Drosophila melanogaster: one gene and its partner. The protein of the gene in region 1 interacts with the protein of each later gene in a pairwise test. Each region holds a gene or a part of one and is shown on either strand. Other genes may lie near its edges. The genes, in order: CBP and CG14323.

Evidence for each region.
Region 2: the proteins of CBP (region 1) and CG14323 interact in a two-hybrid assay, tested with the Drosophila melanogaster proteins (one large-scale study listed by BioGRID).

What each region holds. Positions count from the first base shown.
Region 1 is NC_004354.4:7,335,353-7,343,337, forward strand, and holds CBP (sarcoplasmic calcium-binding protein), read left to right. Parts: upstream 1-1,999; 5' UTR 2,000-2,363; coding exon 2,364-2,504; exon of another isoform or gene 2,505-2,898; intron 2,899-4,951; coding exon 4,952-5,164; intron 5,165-5,842; coding exon 5,843-6,151; intron 6,152-6,221; coding exon 6,222-6,455; coding exon of another isoform or gene 6,456-7,214; 3' UTR 7,215-7,379; downstream 7,380-7,985.
Region 2 is NT_033777.3:17,620,671-17,624,370, forward strand, and holds CG14323 (uncharacterized protein), read right to left. Parts: upstream 1,443-3,700; 5' UTR 1,431-1,442; coding exon 798-1,430; 3' UTR 529-797; downstream 1-528.

The DNA of each region.
Region 1 (7,985 bases):
GTACATACATATGTATGTATATACTACATGGTTGGAGACCCTGTTTTGGTGGTCATATGTTTGCAGTTGTTTTGTGTTGCTTTTGTTGTCCCTGGACCTGGTGTTACGTGACGGTCGGAAAGTCAGCAGACAGCCGATGCGCCGGTTGTTCTCGTTCCAAGCACACGTCCACCCCGAAACAAGTGACGTTTATGCATTACTGTGGCTAATATTATGAATAGGTATTATCGAGATATCAAATACGCATCTATCACAATAATAAAATAATAGAAGTAATATTTAACTTTAAAGGAACACAGACAAAAGCAGAACGTTCTAGCAGATAGTATGTATGTATGTATATGTATGTATAGATATGTTCCATTATCTTTATAAACGGATTATGTTCAATTTATCTCGAGTTCACCGCCGCATAATCCGCTTTGGAAACTTCCCGGCTGCTCACATGTTTTGGTTTTCCGTCTGTATTTTCAAGTTTTTGCCTCCGCAGAGTGCAGTGCACTCCGCTTGCCGCATTCGAAACGGTAAAGTGGGGGGCCTTCGATTTTTTTTATTTTGTACGTAAAGTGTTGCACTTCTTGCGGGGAACCAGTGCTTGCAAAACTATGGGGGATTTATGAAAGCATTGATCTTGATGGGCAGTAAAAACTATTAAAATGAACCAAGATTAAAGGGAATTAGTGGAGCTGATAATTCCCTTTAATTTTTGCCGGCCACTGATATATCCATTCCGAATCACTACCCCCTTATTAATTTTTTCGATGGTTTCTTTTTTGTTTTCGTTTCGATGCAATGTTTTTTGGGTCCAAGTCCACTGGCGCTTATTTGATCAAGACTATTATACAATCTTACACGTATGTACAGCTGTGTATGTATGGGTGTCCACAGTGAAGGTACTAGAAATAGTGCTCCGTTGCGAAGAATGATCAGCATAGTGCATTATGCTTTTGGACAATTTGGGTTATAAAAAATAGTTTAAGATACCTTTAATGGTGGTAAAATGCCAAGTGCTTGAAATTAATTGGTATGTAACTGAAAACGATCTTTTAATGTTATTAGTTTTAAAGTGTTGTAATGATCCTATAATATTTACCGCACACGTGTGGGTGTAAGCATGCGTTTTGCTGTGGAGCAATGAAGTAGAACAGCAACGGAAAAACAGAAACTATTAGTGCGTAGGTATTTGTGTTACTTCATTTGTATGTGTGTGCGTAGAGGGCACTTTTCGGGGAAGTGCGTAGCGAGGGGGGAAGGGTGTCTTGGGGCATATTGTATTGGACCGACAGTTTGTCACACGCAGCGACCTAAATACGCACATTTTATGATATTTTCATTTTGAGTTTTGGCTTTTGTTTTTGGATTCCTTCGTTTACGTTATCAATTGGAAAACTGTAGTCCGTGTATGTATATGTGTGTGTAATCCCATGTTTATGTAATGCATTTTCTTTGGGCTTTATTTTGAAAACGAATACAGTTCTCCATTTAAGCGAGGTTTGACAATCACTGGGTTTTGTGTTTGTTTTTGCTTCTTCTTGTGCTCCTGCTTCCTCTCCATTTTCTTCTTCAACCGGCTTACATGGTCTTGCCTTTGTGTTTGTACTTACATATATACAGCCAAGGGCGCAAAAATATGAACTAAAAAACTTAAATACTAATTCCTCCGCATCTCTTAAAGCTGGTTTTAACATTTGGGAACGCTCATATTCAAAAATATTCTTGCGACACATATGCATGTGTATATTAATGCAGCTCAAAGTTTGATTTCGTGAACATTTGAAAATGTAACTACTAATATTTTGGCTTCAATAGTGTGTACTGCCTGCTTGTGGTAACCATTCCAAGTAGCAGCTGTTCTCCCTGCTCCCTTCTTATGCTGTCCTCTCCCTCTTCATCACACAAAACCACACACACACACGCGCACTCCCGCTCACACACACTCAGAAAGACCGCTCTGCTTTTACAGGCGTCGACGTCGACTTCTTTTCTTTGCGCAGCGATGGTTTTCAAAACGAATTCGAACGCTTAAGCGAACGGTTGTGTTTACTCCCAAGCAAAGATATCCAAAAAAAAAAAAAACTGAAACCACAGAGAAATCAAAATAGAAATTAGCGGACTCAAAAACAAAGTGTAACAAAACAAAGCAGAAAAATAAAGGCAAACATTTTTTTGTGGTGCATCTTCGAAAAAACCGGTTGTTAAATGCGCGTTGCAATCGAAATAATAACAAGAGTTCAACAACAAAATCCCTAAAAAAAAGCAACGTTGCACATTTTCTCGAGTGCAGTTCAAACTGTAAGGAAAACGTAGCGAAAATTGAGGAAAAATTTAAGAAAACCGAGGTTAAAACTTGAGCGAAAAACAAAATGGCATTCTCCATCGTGAGCCGTGGTATTTTGCGCACTTCAAGAGAAATTCTGGAACGCAACATGGCCGCAACTGTCGGCGTTCTGCAGCAGAATGCCTCCCCGCCCCCAAACACGCCCATTTCGCACAGCGATTGTCACGTAAGTGCATCTTTTCTTTCAGTGCATTGTAGTTAAGGTTACTAATTGAATTGACAGAAACAAGCAGTTAGAAAAACTTAGCATCACAAAGCGGACAGGAAAGAGCAGTTCCTAAAACAAACTTAAAAGCAACAGTTATAAAATAAAGAGTTTAAAACCAGTTCCACAAAAGATGTTCCAACCAAAAAGCAGTTCCGCATGATATAAACTCAAAACAAAGCAGAAAAATAGAATCGCAATTCGAAAAACAGTAAGTGGTGGAAGGAGAACTGTAAATAGTGAGGAAGAGGGGTGAATACAGACAAGCAAGGGAAGTGGAGAATGAAAATTGGGAGCGGGAATGTTCACGAAACGAGGCCAGTGCTAAGTAAACTGTAGCAGTGCATTCGAAACTGTAAGAACTCGAGTTCAATTCTTGATTAATATTAATAGATATTCCCAACTATAATTCTAGCAATACAAGAGAGTTTGGGATTATTAATTCTCTAATTTTTATTAACTTTTCATTCCCGCATTATTAATTTATTGTTGTTAGCAGCAGCATTATATATTGCTGATTTTTGGTTTCAATTGATGATTAACTATAAAATACGTTTAGGTGCTGGCAAATTTCTTGCACATCAATCATTAAAGGGCGCAGCACTTCAATCAATCAATAAGAAATTGAAAACCCGGCGCCGAAAGAGGCATATCCCTCAATGAAACAAATAAAACAAGATACAGTAAGATAAACAAGTGGAAATTACACACAAAGAAATGTTGGTATTGAATCAATAGATTCAACAAAATAGTTCAGTTAATATATAAACATGTTTCATCTTACTCCTATGTTGTTAGCTTTAAAAATACCGTCCAATAGTATTTGCATAAAAGTTTCGGTTTTGAAACGAAATTTATGATATTATGTTGACACAACATACATTAATTTAACCAGCTAAGCCAATATTAATACTTACTGGTATTTTTCACCGTGTATTCAGGTGAAAGCTTGTTTTCCCTTCTCACCGACAACAACCCCCTCATTTTGAAAGTCGGAAAACTGCGCAAATTCTGTAGCAGGAAAATCTTGCGCAAAAGCATTGGAAATTATAACAACAAAAGTACCCCACCTCCCTTTACTTTTTCTCTAACCGCCACGGAAAAAGAAGTTTTAGAATCACAGGAAATGATTAAAGTGATTTTATTCGCAATTTTTCTACTTCTTGTTTGCTGCTAAATTAACATTGACCTGTTGCTCGACTTTGATTTTTATTTGCCGTCTTCTTACTCTCTGCATCTTCCACATATAAATCATTGGCATTGTTTTTTGTTTAATTTTCTTATGGTCGAAACGTGTTTCTCTTTATTTTCGAGACGCGCAGACATTCAAATGAAAGGAGGCCCGTTTTTTGCATTCATTAATTCGTATTTTGGAGAAACTTGTTTACGAAAAAAAAAACACCGAAAAACAGAAACAATCCAAAGTTCGTTTAACCAAACGAAGCAACTGGAACCGAAAAAAGGTCCCAAAGCAGTCAGTCCAATACAATAAGTGTGCGGGCTTTATGATAATGTTATATGGTATGATGCATGATATCATCGTCGTCGGTGGCTGGCAACATCTGTACTTGGATTCTTTCTTATCGAGAGCCATTGAAATTCAAAACGTTTACAAGAGAATTCGGTTTCTTGTAATTAAAAGAGTAGCGAATTTTGTTTTTTATCTTTTCCTAATGGCACAGGTGATGGAAAAAACCTTTCTCCGAACTGGTTATTGGCATCAATATTTATCTTTTTTAATTTTCAAAGTTGCAATGTTGGCAGCAAAGGACATTGAATGTATTATATATGTGTAAAATACCGTGTCCTATATTTACATATATTTTATATATATTGGAAGCTATTTTCCTGCTGGTTTACAATTTCTTCTTTTAAATTCGTTACATACATGATCGCCACGTGGTTTTTTACCATTACCAAGCGCCTCTCAAACTGTAGACCGAGTTTTTTGAGATACATTTTGACAGTCACTCTTTGGCACTTTTAAGGCGAACCAAAGATGGAAAACTCGTAAAAAAAAACAGATAACGACGAATCAGGTTTAGAATTGTTTTGTGAGTAAACAGAACTGACCTTAACAATGAGAAAATAACACGCACAACAAAAACAACACAGGAAAACAGCAGTGCGCTGAGTTGTAATTAAAAACATAATGATTGCTTACACACCGAAGGGCGTCTAGCAACCATATCAACAACAAAAAGAGCATTCAGCATGGGGCTGTGAAAACCGAAATATACACAAAAACAATACAAAACAATAGCATAATGATTGCGTAACATTATTAATGACACGTTAGCATCTCTTTTTTTAAAGCACAATCAAAATGATTATTATGATAGAGAAACTTATCCAATACATTTTGCATTTTCACATTTTTCTAATTTCCTTTTTTTTTCTGATTTCAGCGCCTGGCATCTGGCGGCATTATCTGTGGACATGGAGCACATTCACTGCTTTGGCATCAAATGCCAACTGCCGTGGTCCAGGCTGTCCGTCAATATTCAAAGAAGGCCGGAGCGGCCAAATTGCGACGGGAGGTGGAAAGTGATAGCGATTCCGACTCGGATGATGAGTTCGAGCGTCGTCGCCAGAAAATGGATTCCAAGCGCAGCGAACGGGTGAGTGAACTGCTTGAGAAATGCATAATCCATTAAATAGATCCATAAAACACACGGTCCACGTGGCTGAGAAATTTCAATTGTGTTTGCTCGACAGGCCGAGAAACGTGTTTCGAAATTTGTTTATCGTGCTCAATGTCGTTTTTTGAACCTGCTCTACGGCATTTAAAAAATAGTCCAACATTGTAACCTGGTTAACAGTGGCCATTTAACAGTAGTAACTGGTTTGAGTGCAGACTGTTTTAAGATCAAAGCTTTGTTGTTTGGTTATTAATACGAAATCTTAGCTTTCTCAAAAAAAGCGAATTGAAGCTTAAAGCAGTTGCTTGTATCCTGACTATACTTGCCATCAAGCAGTTCCTTAAAGTCCTTTCAAAGCCTTTTGGTTAAAGCTTCTAAAAGCTCACAAGCAGTCGCTGCGCGTCTATGAGATAAGCTGATGTTAATAAAAGCATTTTAATAAGGACAGTCAAGTCCTGCAAAGCTTTCAAGCTTTTACTTTTCAAGTCCTTTTAAAGTTTGAAAAGAGCAAAAGGCTTGGTTGCAGAATTGCAATGAGCTTTAGAGTTTAAGAAGCTTTTAGCACGCCCTGTGAATGTTTTAAATCAAATATAATTAAAATTTAAAATAAAATCGCAAGGCAAACCAATTAATATGTATATTTTTCCTCATTTTTAGGGCGACTCAGCATTCTGGCGCCGCAAAATGCGTACTCTCCACCGCATTTTGGACGTTAATCACGACGGCGTCGTGTCCTTCGACGACTTTAGTTTGCTGGCCAAACGCTTTAGCGATCTGGGCCATTTGACCCCAGAGGTCGCTGCCGAATTCAACGATGTGATCAAGCATACTTGGGAAGAGCAGTTCGGGGAGATAACCCCATACAATCTGGTAACTGCCGAGCAGTTCCTCACCGATCTGCACCATCGTCTCAACGACAAGAAGATGGCCAAACGCATCGGTCGCTTCCTGCCCTACTTGTTTAAGGTTAGTTTCATTGTTAAGTTGCTATTATCGATAAACAGAAAAATAATTTTTCCGGTTTTTTTTTTCTTAGGCTGTGGACTTTGATCACACTGGCCATTTGGATCTCGAACAATACAAGCTCTTCTTCCGTTGTCTGGGACTGACCGAAGACGATGCTGCCGTTTCATTCGCTGTGATAGACAAGAACGGCGATGGCCAATTGTCGCTCAAGGAGTTTGTGCATTTGGGCCGTCAGTTCTTTTTAACCGAGGACGACTCGAAGATATCGAAAATGTTCTGGGGACCGCTGGTCGCTGATCATTGACGGGTTGCAGTCACTGCTGTAGATTACAATACAACCAAATCAACAATAACCCAACAAAAAAATCCTTACTACAATCAAGATTATCAGAACCATCAACACAACAACGTCCGATGCCATAACATCGGCAACAATAACACCAATGAGCCAATGCTACATTATACATTGAATACGACAACGATGTTGGCCAATAACAATTACAATAAGATAGTGGCCACTTCGTTGCCAACTCGCGTGCAGGCGGCAGGCGGCAGTTGGCTAAATCTACAGCATGTGGCGCCTCATAAATCGGGACCGTTAATAAACATTAGCAACACCACCACGATCGTTATAAGGAACATGAGCATTTACGATTATTTTCGGCAACACTTGTCCAGTTCGAAGCGCCAGCGCTCGACCTTTGAGCCCCATCCATCGCCCACTACGTATCCCGCCTCCAAGTTGCGCAAGCACAACTTTAGTAATTATCAAAAGGAACGGGAACGGGAAAGGGAAGACCGACAGAAAGATAATAATAATAATAATCATCGAACCAAGGGCAAACCATCATTAGATGACTACGATATAAGATTTTTTGTCTACCTTAACTCGCTAATAATATTCACAATGTCGTGCAGTCGTCAATCGGCCGCCGAGGGCGATGACCTCAAGCATTTCATTTGCGACCGGATCCGGAAATTCGATCGCCTACGACGAAAGGCAAGAAAACGCCGCAAGAGAAGGCCCAAAAAGCTGGTCGAGGATCAAATGCACCATTTATAAACTCTGAAAAGTGGAGCTACATACTATTCACGGTCACCCTATTTACCATATAATCGATTATTTTTTTTTTGTCTAGTTAAGAGTTATGTTTAACTGATATATTACACAATACAGCAAGCATGATATAACGGAATAAAAATGATTTTTAAATATACTATAAATAATACGAGCATATATTTTCAATTATTGGGTGATCAAGCGATCAAAAATGGTTTTCCTAAATCTTTGCGACTCTGTCCACTTATAGATTTTAGTTTATTATGTTTAAACTATTTCCCTAATTGCATATAGTGATTTGCTTATGATTATCCTGCTGCAGGTTTATATTTAATTCATATTCTCAATATTCAATGGAGAAAGGCAAACAGCAGACGCTACTTCCTTCTCATTTTATTTTTAAATGCATTTTTTTTAAATGTTCCCTCCCTTGGCATCTGCGGCCACATATCATTATGTAAGCGCCAGCGAAAAGGATTTGCGATATCAACTGAAAAGTGTTTAGCTGGATGTTGCGAGTCTACAAAAAATGTTACCTAAAATAGAAGACGGGTTGAGCTACTTTTCCAATACTCTACTCTACATTTTTAAAAGACTATACACTTTAATGAAATGCTAGGAATAAATATATATCTCCATCATATAAGTGGTGTGTCATATTTTGTTGTAACATATAGTATCAAAATCTAAGACATACCCTTTATTTTGATACAAAATGGCATACACCCAAAATTCTATAGATAGGGCATGAAAAAGAATTACGTTGTGGAAAAG
Region 2 (3,700 bases), on another chromosome or scaffold:
TTCTGCCACGCCCTTGGGCATGGGCAAGCTCTATTATTATTTTCGCAAGTTATATAAAAATAATAACAGGAGCGGACACGGAGCTGACCAGGCCAATGGATGGCCATCCATTATGCTGCCGGGCATTTATTTGCCAAACAATTGAATCTCTCCCCAGCTCCTTGGGCAGCTTGCAACCACTTCATCAGCCATCCTCGTTTGCAGCTATCTTATGGTTTATGATGGAATCAAAACAAATGCCGGAGCTACGATAGCTCGGCTTTGCTCGTCCGGAACCTCGAGCTCATCCTTCAGCTGGTGAGGATGATGATGATGAGTTTGTTTATGCAGATTGCTTGTGGAGTTTTTCCTTTGGCGTTAATGGATAAATGGACGTGTGAGTGTGTGCGTGGGTAACCCTTTTTGAGGATTTTTCCGGGGAGCTGCGCCACTTTCGAAATCTAGTTGGTAATGTAAACAAAATGATTTTAATTGCACAGATGAACGGTTTTCATTTAAATTTATTGATACCAAGCAATGGAAACACTTAATTTTACGGTCTTTATTAAATTGCGAAATTATTTAAGTACACTTTTTTAATAGCTTAAAAACATTGGTCAGCACTAAAATAATAATCCAATAATTTTGTAGGATATTGGAGTTTTCTTGTCTTAGTTTAAGCAATAGATTGCGGTTTTTAGTGTGCAAAACATTTTCCGGTTTCGAAAACTTAATTTTATCTCTTTTCACTTAACTTTTTTTGACGCACACATTTCAATTAAAATTGTATTGTTTTCTTTTACTTTGCTCTGCTCTGTTTACTTGGGCGAGCGCTTCCTCCGGCTACTTGTTTTCCCATTCATCCCAGGGTATTGGAAGGGTATTGGAAACGGTCCTGGCCGTTGTCCAGGTCCTGCTCCTGGTCCAGAATACCCACCTGCGCTGGCCTGTACCGTTCCAACGGATGTGGGCGGTGGCATACCAGGTGGTGGTGGAGGGAAAGGCGGAGCTGGTCGTATCGGCGAAGCTCCGCTCAGATACCCATAGCCCATGGGACTTCCAGACGTCGCGGAATTTTGATCACTTTGATAGATATACACATTGCTGTTCCCCTGAGCCTGCTGCTGATTCAGAGGCATGGTGTAAAATCCTGCAGGTGTAGCGTAGTAACCTGGTTGAGGACCAATAGCCGCCAGGCTGCAGCCATATACAGGACAATTGTAATAACCAGATATGGGATAGGCGGGGCCGGCGAATATGGGATCCGGATTGTGAGAGGCCATCCAGCGGTTACGCCAACGACGAAACAAAGTACCCAGAAAGAAAAACGATCGTCCATCGATTGGTTCTGGTCCTGTATGATCTGGTTCCTCATCCACATCCAAGTCGGTTTTCTGAGATCCATTGCTGTTGACCAGGATCAGCAAAAATAAAATCTGGAGCACTGCCATTTTCCCAACTGCATCTGCTGAAATCTGTAGGCGGACTACTTTGCGTCCGATCTCAACTCCAACTCAGTGAGTCCCACGAAGACAGGCTGCCTAATGGGCCTTGTAATGAACATTCAAGTGCTGTAACTTTGGCAAAGCAAACAAAGCGTGAAATTTTATTAATACAAAAACATTCAAGGCTGCCCCAGTTACCGACCGAAATCTGTACAAGTATTAAAATGCATATCCGAAAATGTATATCTTAAGTTAAGTTAAGTATTTGAATAAAAATTATATAAAACGATTTCCTTTTTTAGGCATTCATTTTATTTATTTTCATTTCATTTATATGAAAACCCAAAATTAAATTAAAACTAAAGCAAAGATTGCCAAATTTATCTAATTAAAACGCTAAACCACTATTTCTTTATACATACAGTCCAAAATAGTTAGCGGCGCTCACATCGGGGATGTAGCTCAGATGGTAGAGCGCTCGCTTAGCATGTGAGAGGTACGGGGATCGATGCCCCGCATCTCCAGAAGGTTTATTTTTATTTTATATTTCCGGAATTTACATATTGGTTTAAAAAAATTTAAAAATAGGTATAAAAAAAAGTTGCAGTGATTTCCCAAGTATGCATCCCTAAAAATGTTCTCCTTTCCCACGTAAATACTCGCGAGCCGCACGTACGAGCAATCTTTCATTATTAAATGTACAGAAAAACTCGAAGTTTTTGACTTTTGCTGCTTGATTTTATTTTGCCGCATTACATACTTTTGTGAGGGCAACAAAAACCGTTTTGAGTTATGAGTTCTGCGTGCCAGGTGTACTAACATTTTAAGCAGTTGAAGATAATGCGACGCCTAAACACCCTGTAAGGCTGTGCTGCTCAAGAACTCTATACTCATTGAATCAGGAAAAACACCAACTTCTGAGCCATGCCCGCATACCCAACTTTTAGCGGGAGGCCTGCGAATAAAGTGTGCAAAAAACAGGTGACAACAATCAGTACGAGGTAAAAAAGGAGGTGGCGCACGTCCGTGTCTGGAAAAACAAAAACAAGAACCACCAAGGGCTGTGAAAATTCACGCGCCCGTGAAAATTTCGCACGTTTTTACGGACCATGAACTTCATACACCCCGACCAGATATTCTTTCAAAATATGAGTTATGGCTGCATAGATTAGCTGGCAACTATTTGATTTCTCCAACACGAAATTCATTTAATTAAAAAAATACGCAAAGTCAACAGAAAAACTAACTAAACTTTCCACAAACTTTGTTGCCATCAAAACAATAAAAACCACAATCCTCGGCCGGGCTTTGCCTTTGTTATCGAAGCTCGAAACGGACAATGGAGTGTCCTTTTTTACGACAATGCCAAATCCGGCGGAACCACATAAATTATGTTAATGCCTCAGCTATGTACACGCCCACTGTGTGCGACTTTGGCCGAACTGACCGTCCAGGATAATCAGAAAAATACACAGCACACATCGTCCTGGACGAGGGACATTTGCTTAGTGGTTTTGTGAGATAGTTTCTGGGCTGTCCTGTACATTGAGAAAATTGCTGACAATTGCTAAAAATCTCGGGTGACGATGAGGCTTGGATCAGCTTTTTTTTGGGGTGGGCGTTAGAGCATTGCGAATGATATATGTATGCTTGAACACATGTTGTTGGGGCCCAGAAACTGAGCTTATATCGTCTGGGCAAATATTAGGGGGATATTTTAGTGGAGATGGCCAAACTTTGAGATCATCAAAAGGGAATCGTTCAACTAACTTTTGTATCCGATAAGTGAAGTCCCGCAGCAGACGACCAGATATTAATTCTCGGGGGGAAATTAGAAGAGGACATTGCTGTATCCGATTTACAAGCAAAAAGGACTCTGCAAATTAAATTTATAAATATAATATACCATTGTTCGGCTTGTCAGAAGTTTGTTTTTCCCTCCATTGTTACATAATTATATGGCCCGGAGTTATCGGTGGGCTTGAGTGCGTTTGTGTATAAAAAAGCAAGATAAGCCAGAACCGAGTGCATGTAAATAAATTGAAACAAATAAGCTGACTGTCGGCTAATTGCAGGGAGACCCCTTTATCCAGAAAAGCGAATGAAATTGAAAAGCCGTTCGTTCCATTTGCAAGGCAAATATACGAGGCCCCGGATCTCCGGTCGTTTTTTTTCCACCTTGCGGTGGACAACATCGCAACATGCTGTCGAACATTTCCGCCGGACGGTTTCCGTTATGCAACGCCACTGCAAGGACAACAACAGGTGGATGTCGA